4 linked regions of the Drosophila melanogaster genome follow. The protein of the gene in region 4 purifies or fractionates together with the protein of the main gene of each other region. This does not show direct contact. Each region holds a gene or a part of one and is shown on either strand. Other genes may lie near its edges. The genes, in order: Sld5, Cdc45, Psf1 and Mcm5.

Evidence for each region.
Region 1: the proteins of Mcm5 (region 4) and Sld5 purify together in Drosophila melanogaster (affinity purification with western blotting; 2 studies listed by BioGRID, with this or other methods). This does not show direct contact.
Region 2: the proteins of Mcm5 (region 4) and Cdc45 purify together in Drosophila melanogaster (affinity purification with western blotting; 4 studies listed by BioGRID, with this or other methods). This does not show direct contact.
Region 3: the proteins of Mcm5 (region 4) and Psf1 purify together in Drosophila melanogaster (affinity purification with western blotting; 2 studies listed by BioGRID, with this or other methods). This does not show direct contact.

The regions. Positions count from the first base shown.
Region 1 is NT_033777.3:26,054,963-26,058,371, reverse strand, and holds Sld5 (Sld5), read left to right. Parts: upstream 1-1,824; 5' UTR 1,825-1,880; coding exon 1,881-1,991; intron 1,992-2,051; coding exon 2,052-2,505; intron 2,506-2,563; coding exon 2,564-2,685; 3' UTR 2,686-2,715; downstream 2,716-3,409. Other genes in the region: Tcs6 (Threonyl-carbamoyl synthesis 6), read left to right, coding at 185-219, 283-583; PIG-P (phosphatidylinositol glycan anchor biosynthesis class P), read left to right, coding at 549-1,025; CG14543 (uncharacterized protein), read right to left, coding at 1,064-1,525, 1,590-1,715; Cmpk (Cytidine/uridine monophosphate kinase 1), read left to right, coding at 3,036-3,409.
Region 2 is NC_004354.4:1,027,671-1,032,309, reverse strand, and holds Cdc45 (cell division cycle 45), read left to right. Parts: upstream 1-1,753; 5' UTR 1,754-1,982; coding exon 1,983-2,893; intron 2,894-2,945; coding exon 2,946-3,762; 3' UTR 3,763-4,019; downstream 4,020-4,639. Other genes in the region: CG14630 (uncharacterized protein), read right to left, coding at 200-786; Rpp21 (ribonuclease P/MRP subunit p21), read right to left, coding at 857-1,241, 1,301-1,467; CG3021 (uncharacterized protein), read right to left, coding at 4,160-4,639.
Region 3 is NT_037436.4:1,246,460-1,249,633, forward strand, and holds Psf1 (partner of Sld five 1), read right to left. Parts: upstream 1,219-3,174; 5' UTR 1,216-1,218; coding exon 607-1,215; 3' UTR 527-606; downstream 1-526. Other genes in the region: CG32318 (uncharacterized protein), read right to left, coding at 1-28, 95-174; Sac1 phosphatase, read left to right, coding at 1,832-3,174.
Region 4 is NT_033777.3:10,786,558-10,791,790, reverse strand, and holds Mcm5 (minichromosome maintenance 5), read right to left. Parts: upstream 3,268-5,233; 5' UTR 3,127-3,267; coding exon 2,975-3,126; intron 2,921-2,974; coding exon 1,810-2,920; intron 1,752-1,809; coding exon 930-1,751; intron 867-929; coding exon 750-866; 3' UTR 641-749; downstream 1-640. Other genes in the region: Art1 (arginine methyltransferase 1), read left to right, coding at 3,677-3,679, 3,743-4,018, 4,087-4,316, 4,404-5,025. UniProt on the Drosophila melanogaster protein: Acts as a component of the Mcm2-7 complex (Mcm complex) which is the putative replicative helicase essential for 'once per cell cycle' DNA replication initiation and elongation in eukaryotic cells.

The sequences.
Region 1 (3,409 bases), about 15 Mb from region 4:
TCAAAAACTTAACAAGCGCTTAATTTAAAACATAAATGTGATTATGAAGAATGCTCATTTTTAAACATTTGAATTCTTCAATCAGCTGTTCACGAGATAAACAGCCGGTGAATGCTTCTTCTTCATAAATTGTCATTAACTTTCTCCGTTGACATGTGAGCATTTCAGATTGGTTAAAACTTTTATGATGCCACAAATTGCAAATAAACCAAATGAATCGTAAGTTTAACCATTTAACAAAGAAATAAACATAAATTTAGTAATAAATATTCGCCTCATTAGCATAATAAGAGTGCCGTTTGAGACGCCACGATTGGCCGAGATCGCCTACAAAGTCCTCGGTGTCGACCAGGAGCCGCGCCGGAATTTCGTGAAAAAAACTTTGAGCCTGGAGAACGATGTTCTGGTTGTGCACTTTCAGTCGGATCAAGTGAAGAGCCTGCGCACTGCCATCACCTCCTTCTTTGAGTGCCTGCTCCTGTGCCAGGACACCATCAACCAGTTCGGAGACTCCAAGAAAGAGAAACTAATCCCCGAGAGCAACGACAATGCCGGAACACACTCCAGCTCCGACTCCCCATAGGGCGGTCTATGGTTTCGCCTTCTATATGCTGTTCACGGTCCTCTTCCTCGTATACGTGACTTGGGCGCTGCTGCCAGTGGAGTTTGGTCTGCACTCGTATCTGCCGGACAAGTATTTTGCCGTATTTGTGCCTTTTCTGGTGCTGGTCTTCGCCTGGTTCTTTGCCTTCCTCATCTATCCTGCCATAAATCTATCGATGACAGTGGATGTTGATTCCATTGCCTCGGTGGTGGATCCAAAGCTGGCACTGCCCAAGGGGACAGAGTTCACCTCCTGGTCGCAGTTGCAAAAAGGCAAGGTCAGCCAGGATTCCGCATCAAAGAAGGCCTCTCCAGTGAACTGCAACCTGTGCAGGACTTTCCACCAACCTGTGACACGTGCACCTATTCCACCACTGCGTTTTCTGGACCTCCAGGAAGTAAATACAGCGTATTATAACTAAAAAACTAGCAGGTTTCTTTTTAATCATCCCGACGAAATTCATTTTCTTCGCACGGTGGTCCAGCCGTCTTCCGGTTCCACAAACTCCTCAGCCTGCTGCTTTCGTGCCTGCGATCGCGTCATCCGACCACTGCCGCTGGGAGTTTCCTCGTCGCCCTGGCCCATTTCATTATCGTCCTCCTCGTCGCTGTCGTCCATGTCCTCATCGGATGAGGAGTCCCCATCGATGGGTGTGTAGGTGATCTTAACATCCGGACGCAGCCACTCCTTGCCAGCAGGAAGTTTACTCAATTCAGCCTCTATTTGCGGAAACTGGTTCTGCTGGGCCATCAATTTGTAGCGCAGCAGATTCCGGCAGATCTCCGGAATGGAGTCGTCGTCGCAGAGGGTGTTAAACTCCTGGTCCATCAGCTCCTCCAGGACCTCCACCAGTTCGCCTTGCGTGATATTTTCGTTGGACACGCAGTACTGGTAGGTGTAGTCCATGATTTCTATGGCCACCTACAAAACGGACACTCCGATTAGGTTAGAAAAGAAGACGGTTTCAGGGTATACGAGCAACAACCTGTTGGCCATTGCGTCCGCCCATGCCATGCTCCACCGCCAGCCGGAGATCCTGCCAGTGATTGAAGATCTTCTCTACAATCACTCTAAAATTCTTTTGGAATTCAGTTTGTTGTGCGGCTGCCATCGCATGCTTTTGTGATATCGATAACGGTTAGACGTGCCATTCACACGGAGTAAAAACAAATGAAACAGTGATGAAAAACGTCAACTGTATTACTGGAGTGACATTCCCAACGATTCCCAAAATTTGCGCCAAAATCTGCAAAATAATAAACAAATAAATAAAACCATGTCGGATGTAGAAGACGTGCCCGAAACCCAGTTAGAAATCGATGTCAGCGATGGCGCCGGACTGGAGGATGAGGATGATGACGATATGGAACAGATTACAGCTCAGAAGGTAAGGTAAATCGTAACACAGCTTTTTAATACGCAAGTAATCACATTCTGATATCCCTAGGTTCTGGAAATCATAGAAACCGCGTGGATAAATGAAATGTGTGCGCCGGAGATCCTGCCCAGCCAGACGGACATGCTGGAGCTGATGGTCTCCCAGGTGGCCCACATGGAGGAGCAGATGCGCGATCTGGACAAGAACGATTTCCGAGCGGTGGTGCACTCCATGGAACTGGAGAGGGTGCGCTACATAATGGCCAGTTATCTGCGTTGCCGCCTGCAGAAGATCGAAACCTTCACGCAGCACATCCTCAACCAGGAGGAGAGCCGTGAGCCGGATGACAAACGTCTGTCTCCCGAGGAGACTAAGTTCGCCCAGGAGTTTGCCAGTAATGTGGATGAGTACTTCCACAAAGTAGCCACCCAGTACATGCCCAACCAGCAGAGAGGAGAGGCGGAGCAGAGGATTGTGACGCCCAATCTGATGAGCCATGTCTTTCTTAAGGCAAATGTGGCAGGTAATAACCTTTTGTCATCTAATTAAGATAACCGCTTAACTCTTGTTTTGCTTTCCAGTGCCCGCTGTGATCGTGGGCGTCGATGATGAGGAGGTGGACATGGCGGCCGGCTCCCAGCATATTATTCCCTACCAACTAGTGGCCGACTTGATACAAAACAACCAAGCGCAGCTAATTTAAAAGACTTATTTAGCAGGTAATATACATGATAATAAAAAAAATTAAAAATCAAACTCTGCAAAGCTGCATGTTTAAGGGTACATTTAAAAATGTTGTAGAAGAATATTTAAATTAAATTTAATTTATTTAATATCGAACCGGAAGTAAACTGCATAAAATGCCATTCAAATTGGTTCGCTTCCCGCTAAAGCCGGCGCCAGTGTTGCCGAACGGACGCCCGCGAACAGCTGCGCTTGTGCGTGACGTCACAGGGTGTTACGTTTCCAGTGGAAAACAGTGGTGAGGTGTACTGCAGGCGGCATACACATAAACCACGCATTCAATTTGCCTTCAGTTTGGTTCAGTCGTCAATGTGGCGGGCTTTGGCACGAACGACGTTGAGAGCAGTAGCCAACGATTGCGGTTCACCAGGAGTCGGTCTCGCACCATCAGCGCTGACGCAGCACCAATTGCGACATTCCAAGGCCAGCAATAGGTTCATCACCACCACCTCCACAGCCCCACCACACAATATCGGAATCATGAGCGTAGAGAAGCCAAAGATTGTCTTTGTTTTGGGCGGTCCCGGGGCCGGCAAGGGCACCCAATGCTCCAGGATCGTGGATCGCTTCCAATTCACCCATCTCTCGGCCGGCGATCTCCTGCGCGAGGAGCGGTCGCGGGAGGGCTCCGAATTCGGTAACCTCATCGAGGACTACATTCGCAATGGCAAAATTGTGCCCGT
Region 2 (4,639 bases), on a different chromosome or scaffold from region 4:
GTGAGTAAGTGGTAATCAAATCTTTATCATGAGTACAAATGGACACCTGGTTGAAAATATTTGCCTGATTCTGGCTGTAACAATCAACCGATAGTGATAATATTTAGTGGACTGATAGATAATACAGCTCTCGGCAAATGTGAGTTTTATGACCCTGGTACTGTACGATGAAGTATGTCATCTATTGGTTAATATTTACCCGTAGGTGGTGCGTTTTATGTAGCCAATTCGTTCGGCCAATTTCTTAGCCACATTTATGTCGTTGGGTGCCCCTTTCAGAATGGCGAATCCTTGGACTGCCAGTGCCTCAAGCCAAACTCTCAGGGCTGCATCTTGCTCCAGCACATCCTCGTATTGGAATTCTCTTTTCACATCCTCGAACTCCGTTTTTCCCCAGAGTTGAGCGGGTGGCTTGTAGACCTCCTCCAAGTAATGCTTTCTGCCAGTCTCTCCAAAGTCCCTTTCCCTCAGCCAGCCTAGATCGAAGGTGCTCCTGTGCTTGTCCTGCCAGATGATCTCCAACTGTTTCCTCTCCTTGTTGTAGGCCACTTGGGACACTGGTATATTCAGCGGGCCACGATCCCAGTGACTTTTTCTTGCTCTTGTGGCGGCGTGGAAGCACTCGGCACACTGACAGTTGTCCCTAAGCCAAACTTGGGGGTACTTCAGGAGATTGCCCTGCTCCTCCTGGACTTCTACATAGTCGGGGCATAGTCGCACACAAGCAAATGTGCTCGCCTGCCGAAGAAGGCTCAGCCGAGAAATAAGTTGCCTACAGCTAAGCATTCCAGGCTCAACTGCCGAGCAATCAGGTGATGGCACAACAGGCAGGCTGGCTGATAAGCAAAGCTTCAGCTTATCGCTCGTCTTTCTCTTTGGGGAGCGAGACCACTTGCACTATGGATTGCGGCTGCTCCAACCAGCAGTCTCTTTGACTGTTCGCCGCAAAGCTTCGCCGGCCGCAGCAGAGTGAGCACTCTAAGAAAAAAGAGACCTGTTCAGTACTTTCTTGGATTTGCTCCTCGGATTCCTCCTGGTTGGTGTTCCCTGTTTTCCGGCTTCTGGGCTTCTTGCGCTGCCTGCGATGGCGCTTTTTCTTCGTTTTGACTGCTCCGTTCGATTGAGCTTGTGCATCAGTCTTGGCCTCCTGTGCTCCTTCCTCCACATGCAGCTCCGTATTCACTCCGGGAATCAGGGGAAGGAAACAGCGCCTGCACAGGGAACGCTTCACGGCCGGGGCCCTTGAAACCAGTTGACGCCATGAATTATTTGCCCATACTCCACTGGAGAAGCCACTTACATGTGCATGATAGCCTTGGTGCCCACATTGCGGCAGAGTTTGCCATAATAGGCGGCCAATTTTGGTTGATTGCCTACTGCCATTAAATTCGAGGCCTGGAACAGGTAGTTCATGCGTGAGGAGATGGCCCGCTGGGTCAGGTGCTTCATCTTGTTGTCCCTGCTCATATTCTGAGGCTTTTGTCGCACAAAGCTGGTCGACTGGTAGACTTTCGTTTTTGTGGCAATTCAAAACACATGGGCGTCGCGGTGTGACCGTATCTGGAGCGCCAAGATATTGCTCCTACTGCAATAGCAGCAACTGCAAAGAGCTCTCAAAATTCAACATTATGTGATTATAATTTCGGTTTTTGGCAGCTCAAAATTTCTGGAAATTCGCAGAATATTCTTTTCCCAGCAACGATTGTATTTCCGCGCCATTCCATTATTTCACACTGGTCACACTGGCTAAGCCAGCTGTTTCCCGCGTTTTTGATTCGCCAATTGCGATTGCCAGAAAAGCAAAAGTGGAGCGGCAGTGGGAAGCTGGAAAATAGCGCAAGCCGCAGGGAAACCCTCAAAATGCAACGCACTGCACTCATGTAGAATTCTACTTTGCATCGTAAGCGATTGGAAAGAGACCGTTGTGTCTAGACGTAGACAGATTAGGCAGACGATTGGGATTCCCGCCAGAAGTGTTCACCATGTTTGTCCAGGATCTGCGCAACGACTTTTACCGCCAGCTGGTTGGCAAGCGCATCTTGATCGTGGTCAACTACGACATCGATGCCATCTGCGCCAGTCGCATCCTGCAGGCCTTGTTCAAGTACGATCACATGCTGTACACCGTGGTGCCCATAATGGGCGTTACGGGTCTGAAGCGGGCCTATGGAGAGCACCAGGGCGACGTTAAGTACGTGGTGTTGGTGAACTGCGGCGGCTGTGTAGATATTGTGGAGCTCCTGCAGCCGTCGGACGACGTGACCTTCTTCATATGCGATTCACATCGCCCGTTGGATGTGTGTAACATCTACAGCGATCGGCAGGTGTGCATCTTGGGGGATGCCTCCTTGGAGGAGAATATTCCAGCGTTCGAGACAATTTTCTATGACTCTGAAGGTGAAGACGAGGATGAGGACGAGTCCTCTGACACGGAACAGCAGCACGACGACAGTGGTGCCGGGGAATCGGACCAGGAGGATCAGGCGCCAAGGAGCCGTAAGCTCAGTCGCCTGGAGCGGCACGAGCAACGCATCCTGAAGCAGCGAGCCCGCCGACAGTGGGAGTCTGAGCGCGACAGGATTATGTTCGAGTACACGCAGTTCAGCTACTACGGCAGGTCCGCCGCTTTGATGGTTTTTGAGTTGGCCTGGAAGCTCTCAAAAGACAACATGGACCTGCTCTGGTGGGCCATTGTGGGCATCACGGAGCAGCTGCTGCTGGGCAAGATCGAGAGTGGAGCGTATACTTTGGAGCTGGAGCAAATCCAGTCGCATGTGTCCCGACTGACGAACAAAACGAATGATCAGAACACGATGAGTGCCTCCAAGATAACCTTCGAGAATGATTTGCATCTGGTCTTGTACCGCCACTGGCCCGTCACGGAATCCATGAGGTGAGCATTGACAGTGTATTCTATGCCATTTAATCATGTAGTATAATCGTAGGTATTCCCGCTACTCCTCATGCCAGCTGAAGCTGTGGACACTGCGCGGAGAGAAGAGATTACACGAGCTGCTGCTCGAGATGGGACTTCCCTTGGTGCACGCCCGCCAAACGTACGGAGCCATGGATTTGGTGTTGCGCAAGGAGTTCTTCTCGATGGTGGAGCGCCTGGCGGAGAAGTACGACATAGCGGACATAGTTTACGGCACCTTTACGCTGAGCTACGGCTACCGCAGCAGATATGCTGCGGCGGACTACGTTTATGCCCTGCTCGCCATCATGGAGTCCGTGAAGAAGCACAAGACTCCGGAGGATTGCTTTCTGGAGGCCTCGGATGCTTTGAGTCGTCAGCACAAGCAGCTGCTGTCTGCAGGCATCGACCAGGCGAAGCTTTTGCATGCTGCTGTCTTTCGGCAGGTGCAGAGCAGCTTGGAGGCACGCCAAGTTCATTCAGCGGGCTCCTTTTTCTACTACGTTCTGCAGGAGGAACACGCGTTCTTCTCATACCCCTATGCCCTTGGACTGTTGGCTCGCTTTCTTTTGCGCGGACATGTGGCCACGAGTAGAGCCAGGCAGGCTTCGGACTTGCCGTTGATCGCAAGTTGTCCCCTGAACGCTTCGGAGGGCATGTGCTTGCTGGTAGGCATTGTCCCGGTAAGGGAAGACTCTCCGCGAAACTTCTTTGGCAAGGCCTTCGAGCAGGCGGCGCAAAAGAGTGGAGTCGCTCTATTGCAGGACTTTTTCGAGCCAGCGGTGGTGCAGCTGCGGCAGAGCGACCTCACACGCTTTCTGGACTCCCTCACGGTGCTGTTAGCCTAATCCACGCCGCTTTCTATTCTACCTGCTACCGACACATCCCTGCTCAATCATATTATGTGCTAAGCTAGTTTTATATCGCGAGACCTCACGTGTACACTTAGTTTAAGATTTTACCAAACCCTATTTATGTACGATTGTGTGTTAATAACTTTATCATTGCTCCCAGGACCACAAAATGCAAAATGTCCTTTTTCAAAAACTAATTGTAAATTTGACCTAGAATAATAAATTTAAATTAAAGTGTTTACCATGGAATTAAAAGTGTCGATTCACGTCTAAAATTTACTCGGCGCTTAAATTTATGAAAACGTATTTACCATGCTATCTATACATGCCGTGTTGGCAGTTGGACTGCCTTCTTACATTTGGTTTATTTTCTGGCTCAGAGGAAACATCATTAGCTAACCAGATTTGCGGCTTGAGCTTGCTGCGTCTGTGCGTTTTTTTTCTTTAGGGGATTAGCGCTGAGGATGCGGGCCGAACCCAAACAAGCTGTGTCGTCATAGAATACGGCATATTGTCCTGGTGTAATAGCTCTTAAAGGAGCGTCCAACTCGACAAGAAAAGTGTTACTGGGAGAGATGCTCAGCTGACAGTCCACCAATGGTTTGGTGTGCTGGAATCGAAAGCGACACCTCAAGCTGCCAGTGTCCGAAAGAATCTGTTGGGACTTGGAACACAGCCAGTTGGGCGGATCGACGGCTATGTGGGTGCTGAGAAGGGCGGGATGGTTGTGGCCAGATGCCACATAGATGGTATTGCTTGCGGCCTCTTTCCTGGCCACAAAATAGGGCTGAAGGAATGAGCTCAGACGGCACCGCTGGCCCACAGTCCATTGATGGATGCCCTCGTGGTGGCCGACAACGGCTCCACTGTC
Region 3 (3,174 bases), on a different chromosome or scaffold from region 4:
GATGCAACGTTCCCGAGAATTAAGGGGTCTACAAAAGATATAGAAGATATATGTAGATCTTTTTAAGGGGTTTTGGTTACATATACAAACTCACCTGACGCGCACATACACCTGGATGTTTTGGTTGGACTTCTTTTGGGGCTGGCGCGACGTATTCCCACCAGATATGTCCATATTGATCAATTGAAACAATTAATTGTGGTTTTAGCGCGTACAGTCCAAAAAATGACGCCTGTCGCGTGTATCGGTATGCGTGTGTGTGTGTGTTTGATTCCTGGAAATCCTTGTGCTTCACCTTCCACCGAGCCGAATGCTGATAACTGTAACTACTATTTACAGAAGGCTGGCGTGGAAAACCAATTTTCGCACTATTTCCAATGAGAACAGAGAGAAGCAGCGTCTTCAGTTGTCCGTTCAATTTTAAAATAATGCGCAAATAGTGTGACCGCAACACGGCACCCTGAAAATACCAACATCGAAAAATACAAGTATTGGAAAACTACAGAATGTTCAAATTATTTGAATTAAATAATTTTTTATCTTTTATTTGTTCTACATTAAACCATTAAATATGTATAGTAAACTCTTATTATCAAATAATCCCGACTAGGCTATGTGGTGAAGAATGCCCTGCCTCACGAGAGACTCCACCTGAGCTCGGGGCAGATAGTGCTGGCTGTTCTTCTTCAGGTGGATCACCTCGCCGTCGTCCAGCTCGAACTTCCCATAGTCCTCCATGCAGCGCACCTCGATGTAAAGTGACTTGGGCGGACGCAGATTGTTGGTTAGATCAATGGGCAAGCCCTGGTTGTAGCCCGCACTGCACATGTAGGCAGCCAGGGACTTGGAGTAGTTGTTGAAGAAGGTGACCTCCGGTTCGCAGAGTGCCTGCTTGATGTCCCCGGGGATAATGGGTCCAAACTCCCACCTGAGGGCCTTGATCCTCCTGCACCGCTCGTATAGGTAGGCCAGCAGGCACCTCTTGTTCCTCTGGAGAGCTGCGTGCCTGAAGTTGAGCAGGGGCCACAGACTGCGATCCCCGGAAGCATTGTAGCTGGAGGCCTGGGCCACGTTCTCCTCGAATATCGCCTTGATCTCCTCCAGCACCTGGCGCACCCCATCGTCGTCGAAGGCGGGAATTGTCTGCGACGATCTCTCCAGTTCTTTTAGCAGGTCGAAGGCTTTCTCGCCGAACATTTTTGTTTGTCGGCTCATTGTTGATCCTCTCTGTTTTTCTTTGGTTTGGGGATCTAGTGATGGATTCGCGCCAAAATGTTCGTCGACTTGTGGTATCGATACTTGGTATTTCTTTTGGTATATTTCAAAAAATAACAAAAATTTCATCCTCAGTAGCCATGTTCCTTTAAAATAGATTTGAAACGGTGATTTATCAAAATTTAGCTTACGAGGCCCAAATTATGCCGTCCTAAGAGGAAATGCCATCCTGGTTAGATTGGTGCAACTGCGGGAGTGGAGTACCACATGCAAGTAAGTGGGTGTGAACATCTTAAAGTATCGAATATATTAGCTATTCGCTATTCGGCTATTTAGCCAACTGGTCCATCCCTATCACACACGTAGTGGCAAAGAGTTGGCCCAAAAATCAGATGAACTGCAATTTGTGTGTTAAATCAATAAAGAACGAGTAACCTCCTGATTGTGTGGCTGATTTTGGTGCTGTGCGTGTGTGACAGCGGTGATAGCGACAGTGAATCCCCGATTACAGGAAGTGAGCAGAGAAAGAGGAAGCAGCACTGGCTATAGCTATTAACCCTTATCCCATTTTTAACCCTTAGTCTTCGAAGTGGGCCAGCCACCGCCCCCGGAAATCATGGACAGCAGGGAGGAGAACGCCGTGTACGATGACATGAACCTGTACATCGCACCGCAGAGCTTCATCATCGAGCCGAATGGAGGAGATGAGTTGCTGGTCATCGGGCGCCACGACAAAGTCACCAGGGTTCAGCCAGCGAGCGGAGGTCTTGTGGCCAACCTTCGCCCCACCAGGAGGATTTGTGGTGTGCTGGGAACCATTCACCTACTGAGCTGCGACTACCTTCTGGTGGCGACCCACCGCCTCTTCGTGGGCGTGCTCAATGGCGCAGTTGTGTGGAGATTAGCGGGCTATGACATCATACCTTACATTCCGAATTCCTTCCAGCGCAAGGAGAACGAAAACTACTTGCGACTGCTACGCCAGACACTTGACACCAAGTTCTTTTACTTCTCCTACCGCTACGACCTTACCAATTCGCTGCAGCGACAGCGGGAGGTGGCACAATCGCGGCCTGAAGTATCCGGGTTGCTCCAGCGCGCTGAGCAGCGATTCGTTTGGAATGGCTATGTGCTGCGGCAGTTCAACTGCGATAAGATGGAGAAGTTCCAGCTGCCACTCGTCCTGGGCTTCGTGTCTATCAACCAGGTGCAGATCAACGGGCAGACATTCTTCTGGAGCATCATCACCAGGCGTTCCGTGCAGCGGGCGGGCACACGGCTCTTCTGCCGAGGCAGCGACGAGCAGGGCCATGTTGCGAACTTCGTAGAGACCGAGCAAATAGTGGAGTTCAACGGGCAGCTGACTGGATTCGTGCAGACACGAGGCAGCATGCCCTTCCACTGGCACCAGCTGCCCAATTTGCGCTATAAGCCACGACCCGTTCTGGTGCCGGGCAAGGATCATTTGGCCGCCTGCGGGCTCCACTTTAAGGAACAGATCCGGCTGTATGGCAACAATGTGGCTGTGAATCTAGTGGATCACAAAGGTGCCGAAGGCGAGCTCGAGGCGACCTATGCCCGCCTGGTTCGAGAAATGGGAAATCCACAAGTGCGATACGAGTCTTTCGACTTCCACAGCGAGTGCCGTAAGATGCGCTGGGACCGGCTGAACATACTCATCGATCGCCTCGCCCATGAGCAGGATCAGTTCGGTGTCTATCATGTCTTCGACGACGGCAAATTGGTGTCCACGCAGACTGGTGTCTTCCGAACGAATTGTATCGACTGTCTCGATAGGACGAACGTCGTGCAGAGCATGCTGGCCCGCAGGTCCCTCACTGCGGTGCTCCAGAAGCTGGGAGTGCTTCATGTGGGCCAGAAAGTGGAACATGCCTCCGACATTTTCGAGAGCATTTTCAAGGGCGTGTGGGCGGACAACGCGGATCTGGTGTCGCTACA
Region 4 (5,233 bases):
AATTCATAAATTTGGAATGCCTACATATACATATACATATATATACATTTGCCATTGTTTTTAAATGGCCAAAAGCGAGCATACGTAACACGCTTACGTATTTTTGAAAATTCGTGCACATTTTGAGTACATTTCAGTTTTCAAATGTATGTAAGTACATAGATGTGCATGCGCAAATATACTAATTGAGTTTTGTATAAAAGGAAGTAATAAACGTTCTCAAACAGAGGAAAAAATATTTTTAAGAAATTGGCAAGTGGCCAAGGCAATATGATTGGTTTTTGTGATTTGTCCGAATGACGTAGGCAAACACAGTCGAATGTAGAGCGAAATTGTCGGTTTGCGCGAAAATTTGGAGGCCGACCAAAGGGTCTATGTGTTTCGACCAAGCATTATCAACAAACAGAATTTAGACATTGCTTATAATCTCATTTTTTAAATGTAAACAATCATAAATATTTACCAAACATATAGTCTGCCGGCTCGACTGACTTATGCACTTGAAATACCTAGGATTTCCCACTACAAGTATCAGAGTATCTATTCTGTAAACTTCTAGCTATTAAATACATCACTGAATTATTGTTCAAATATTTAACAGAATTTGAATAAATAAAATAATGATTCAATTTGGTTTATTGGGAAAGAATGTAGTTTATCTTAATACTATAAATGGAAATACAAATAATGTGACGAAATGATTGAAGACATATTCAACGATGGACAAGAAATGAAGTGATTAACAGTGTTTAGCAAATTCGATAGAGCATCTTCCGTTGCATCCGGTGCTGCAGCTCTCCACGTCGGATCATGGTATGAATTACCTTCATTACCGTGCGTTCTTCGTATTTCTGACGCAAAAAGTCCTATGAAAAGCAAGCATTATAAATAAAAATTGTTCATTCGATTCATAAGACTTCTGTGCTTACCTGTAAGATATTCTGCTCCGATACTTGAGATCCAATTGCAAAGCGACGTTTCAATTGCTTTTCGATGCGGTTGAGTGTTTCCTGGTCCTCCTCGGTCGTGAATCCTTCGGCTCCAGCCAAGCTGCCAGTCATCGCAGCATCAAGGGTAGACACTTGGAAAAGTCGAAGTGCTTCGTTCACGTGCTCATCTGTGGCGAACGGTTGCAAACGAATCTTTGCCAGCGACTCCGAAATGCGGATGACAGCCTCCAACTGACGCACAGTGATGGGAATGCTTAGCCGCTTGTCAGATGCCTTCTCCTGCTGGCCGGCTCCACTGCGCATAAGCACGTAGCGGCTCTTTAGCTTCTCGCCGGCAGCTTCGCTCAGGCGCGGACCGCAATGAGTTCGGCAGTAGTGAATATACTTCTTGAACGTCGACAGCGATATCTCACCCTCAGCCGGCTCTGAAGGCGCTGACTTGTTAGAGCTCAGATGCACGTTGATGATGTGCTTGGCCAGCGTAATGTCCCGCGACTCATCGTGAATATCCTTTACAATGAAAATCATGTCGAAACGGGAGAGAATTGTGGGCATAAAGTCAATGTTCTCCTCGCCCTTGGTGTCGTCCCATCGACCGAAAATGGAGTTGGCAGCTGCCAAGACCGAACAGCGTGAGTTCAAGGTGGTCGTGATGCCGGCTTTGGCAATGGATATTGTCTGCTGTTCCATGGCCTCGTGAATGGCCACACGATCATCCTCTCGCATTTTGTCGAACTCATCAATACAAACCACGCCTCCATCGGCCAGCACCATGGCTCCACCCTCCATGACAAAGTTACGCTAAAGATTAATGTATCATTTAATTTGTAAGGATTAGGTGTGCAATGTTTTTTCTCACCGTTTGAGGATCCTTCATAACCGAAGCCGTGAGACCAGCCGCACTGGAGCCTTTGCCCGAAGTGTAGACTGCTATGGGTGCCACCTTCTCCACAAACTTTAACAACTGTGACTTGGCAGTACCAGGATCTCCCAGCAGTAAGACGTTAATGTCGCCTCGACGGCACAGACCATCCGGTAAACGCTTACGAGACCCGCCAAAAAGCATACAAGTTATAGCTTTCTTGATATCCCGAGAGCCGAAGATGCTGGGCGCCAGTGACTGTGAGAGACGTTCGTAGATGTCCCCAGAGGCGGCCATTCGCCGGAAGTGCTCCTCCTCATCGGATGTGATGTTGCTGTATCGGGAGATGGCACCCGCACCCTCTGAGTCGACGGTGATGCCCACCACCCTCATGTAAGGAGCACGGACTCCAACGACGGCTTTCTCGCGACCATCCCGACGCGAGGGTTTGCCCACCTTGCGAATGGAGTATATGCCCTGGATAAGCACGCGATTGCCGGGCACCACGCGTTCACAGAGCGAGCGATCGCAGAAGAGCTGCAAGTGGCGGGGAATCTCACCCTGTGGCACAAAGTCGGGGAGCTCTTGCAACTTAAGGGTCTGGAAATCGACGCACTTGCACTTGTCCGGCATGATGAAGAAGGGGTCCAGCGGGCACTTGGGTCTGCCCGCCTGCTCCGTGTTGCACTTCCTGGGTAGGGCGTAGCCCTCCAAACCTGGATTCACTTTGAGATTCGGTATGACCGTGCTGCAGGACAGGCATTGGATAGACATCCGCGTAGCCTTGGCACTTATTCCTGAGGCTGCGACAATGATTCCGGCGATCTTAACCAGCTTGGATACGCAGTCCGACTTCAACTGTCGTATGTTGGTGGGATTCGCATTGGAGCTCAGAAGAATCTGGATGTCGTGCATATGTTCCTCGTGCTCCGGCCGGGGAGCTGTGATCTCGTCGGCTACCTCCCGGGCAGCCTCCTCGAAGATTTCCAAATGCTCCGTCGGCTGCTTGTTCAGCTTGTCAGCCAAGGTCTCATCGAAGCCCACCAAATCCTCCATCTCAATCTCCAAGAAGTAGCGACCATTAAGATAGTTCCTCTTCAGGGTGTCACTGCAGGGGGATTACCTTAAATGGGGTTCAGATGAGGAGATGCAGTTCACTTACCGGTATTTGTAGAAAAAGTTCTCCTCGTTAAATGTCCGGATGAACTCCTTGTACTTCTTCTTTACCGCCTGCAAGTTGATTTGCGCATCCTGCTGGTTATCTCCGCCGAAATTGTCCGAAAAGAACACACCCGCATCGTCGAAGCCTTCCATTTTGATAGGGTAAACAAAGTTAAAAAGAAGAACTGAGGTAATAGACGCTACTTCTGCTTCGCTTTATATTTCGTTTTTTAGTAAATGCGATGTGCGAATATTTTGCCGCCAAAATTACCGGGCAAGCGGTAGCTAGAGATGAGCACTTACCAGTAAAACTATCGGATCTTATTTACAACTATCGATGAAACGTGTTTCCCAGTTTATGTATTTTTGTTAGCAGTGAAATAGGACCAATACAACAAGCATTGCAGCAGTTAATAAACCATGAACGTATTTATTATATCTTATTGATGTTATGACAAAGATTATTTTACTCGATTATATGGAACATGCCTTAGACAACTGACTCCAATTCTTCCCAGCTCAAAAATACTAAAATTTCAGAAAAATCCAATAATATCGAGCTGGCGATATTTGTTTCCAGCTTTTGTGCGGGGGCAGTGTTGATAAGCGACCTTTTAAACTAGCGTGCTGTAGAAACAGTCCCATCATTTAGTCGCCAATTTTTCGACGTGAAAAACCAAAGAGACGCCGAAGAAATTAGAAAATGGTAAGTTTTGGTCAAAATGTGACGGCAATCGACAGGCCAGTAGCTGACGAACCCGATTCGCAGGCCAGCACAGACATTCCCATGGAGGCAGCTGTGGAATCGGCGACCGGCATCACGCCCAATTCAAATGCGAACTCAAACAATGTGGCGAAGAAGCTGCCCGCGGAGGGCTCCACCGGTGATAATCCCAATGCCAACGCCGACGAGATGACGTCCCGCGACTATTACTTTGACTCCTATGCCCATTTCGGGATCCACGAGGAGATGCTCAAGGACGAAGTGCGCACCGTCACATACCGCAACGCCATGTACCACAACAAGCATCTGTTTCAGGGCAAGGTAGGGTTAACTTCCGGGGTTTCCCCATTTTTCGTAGCCCTTCTCACCGGGGTATCTCCTCTTTGCAGACCGTACTGGACGTGGGTTGCGGTACCGGCATTCTCTCCATGTTCGCTGCCAAAGCCGGTGCTGCTCAGGTGATTGCCGTCGACTGCTCCAACATCATTGAGTTTGCCCGCCAAGTGGTCATTGACAACAATCTGCAGGATGTAATCACGGTTGTCAAGGGCAAGATTGAGGAGATTGAGCTTCCAAATGGTATTGAGGGAGTGGACATTATTATTTCCGAGTGGATGGGGTAGGTTTTCATTTGTAGTTAAGCTTTTAAAAAGTGGTCATATTTGATTTAGCATATTAACCATTTTAATTTCTTTCCTTAATTTAGTTACTGCCTGTTCTACGAATCCATGCTGGATACAGTGTTGTACGCTCGGGACAAGTGGCTGAAGAAGGACGGCATGATGTTCCCAGATAGGGGCACGCTGTATATCACGGCCATCGAGGACAGACAGTACAAGGACGAGAAGATCAACTGGTGGGACGATGTCTACGGCTTCGACATGAGCTGCATTCGTAAGGTGGCCGTGACCGAGCCACTGGTCGACGTGGTCGATCCCAAGCAAGTGGTATCCACATCTTGCATGGTCAAGGAGGTGGATCTGTATACCGTGCAAAAGGCCGATCTTAACTTCTCGTCCAAGTTCAGCCTATGCATCAAGCGCAACGACTTCGTGCAGGCATTAGTCACCTACTTTAATATAGAGTTCACCAAGTGCCACAAGCGTCTTGGGTTCAGTACGTCACCAGACTCCACATACACGCATTGGAAGCAAACCGTGTTCTACCTCGATGACCACATGACGGCAAAGAAGAACGAGGAGATCACTGGCACGTTCCAGATGAAGCCCAACGAGCGGAACAACCGTGACCTGGACTTCGTCATCGACATTAATTTCAAGGGCGAATTGTCTCAAATTCAGGAGTCGAACACATACCGCATGCGCTAGGGGCAGCCATAACCAATCCGATCTGCCATTTGGGATGGGGCTCAGAGCCCTGCAGCGAGGATACATACAATGACTAGACGTAAGGTTTATTCCAGTGCGAAATGTGCAACGAATTCGTGTTGCGTCTTCTCCTAAGTTTAAAGTGTACCTTTGTTAGTATACATAATATTTTACACTCGTGCGCCTGTTTAAATTATTATTCGAACAT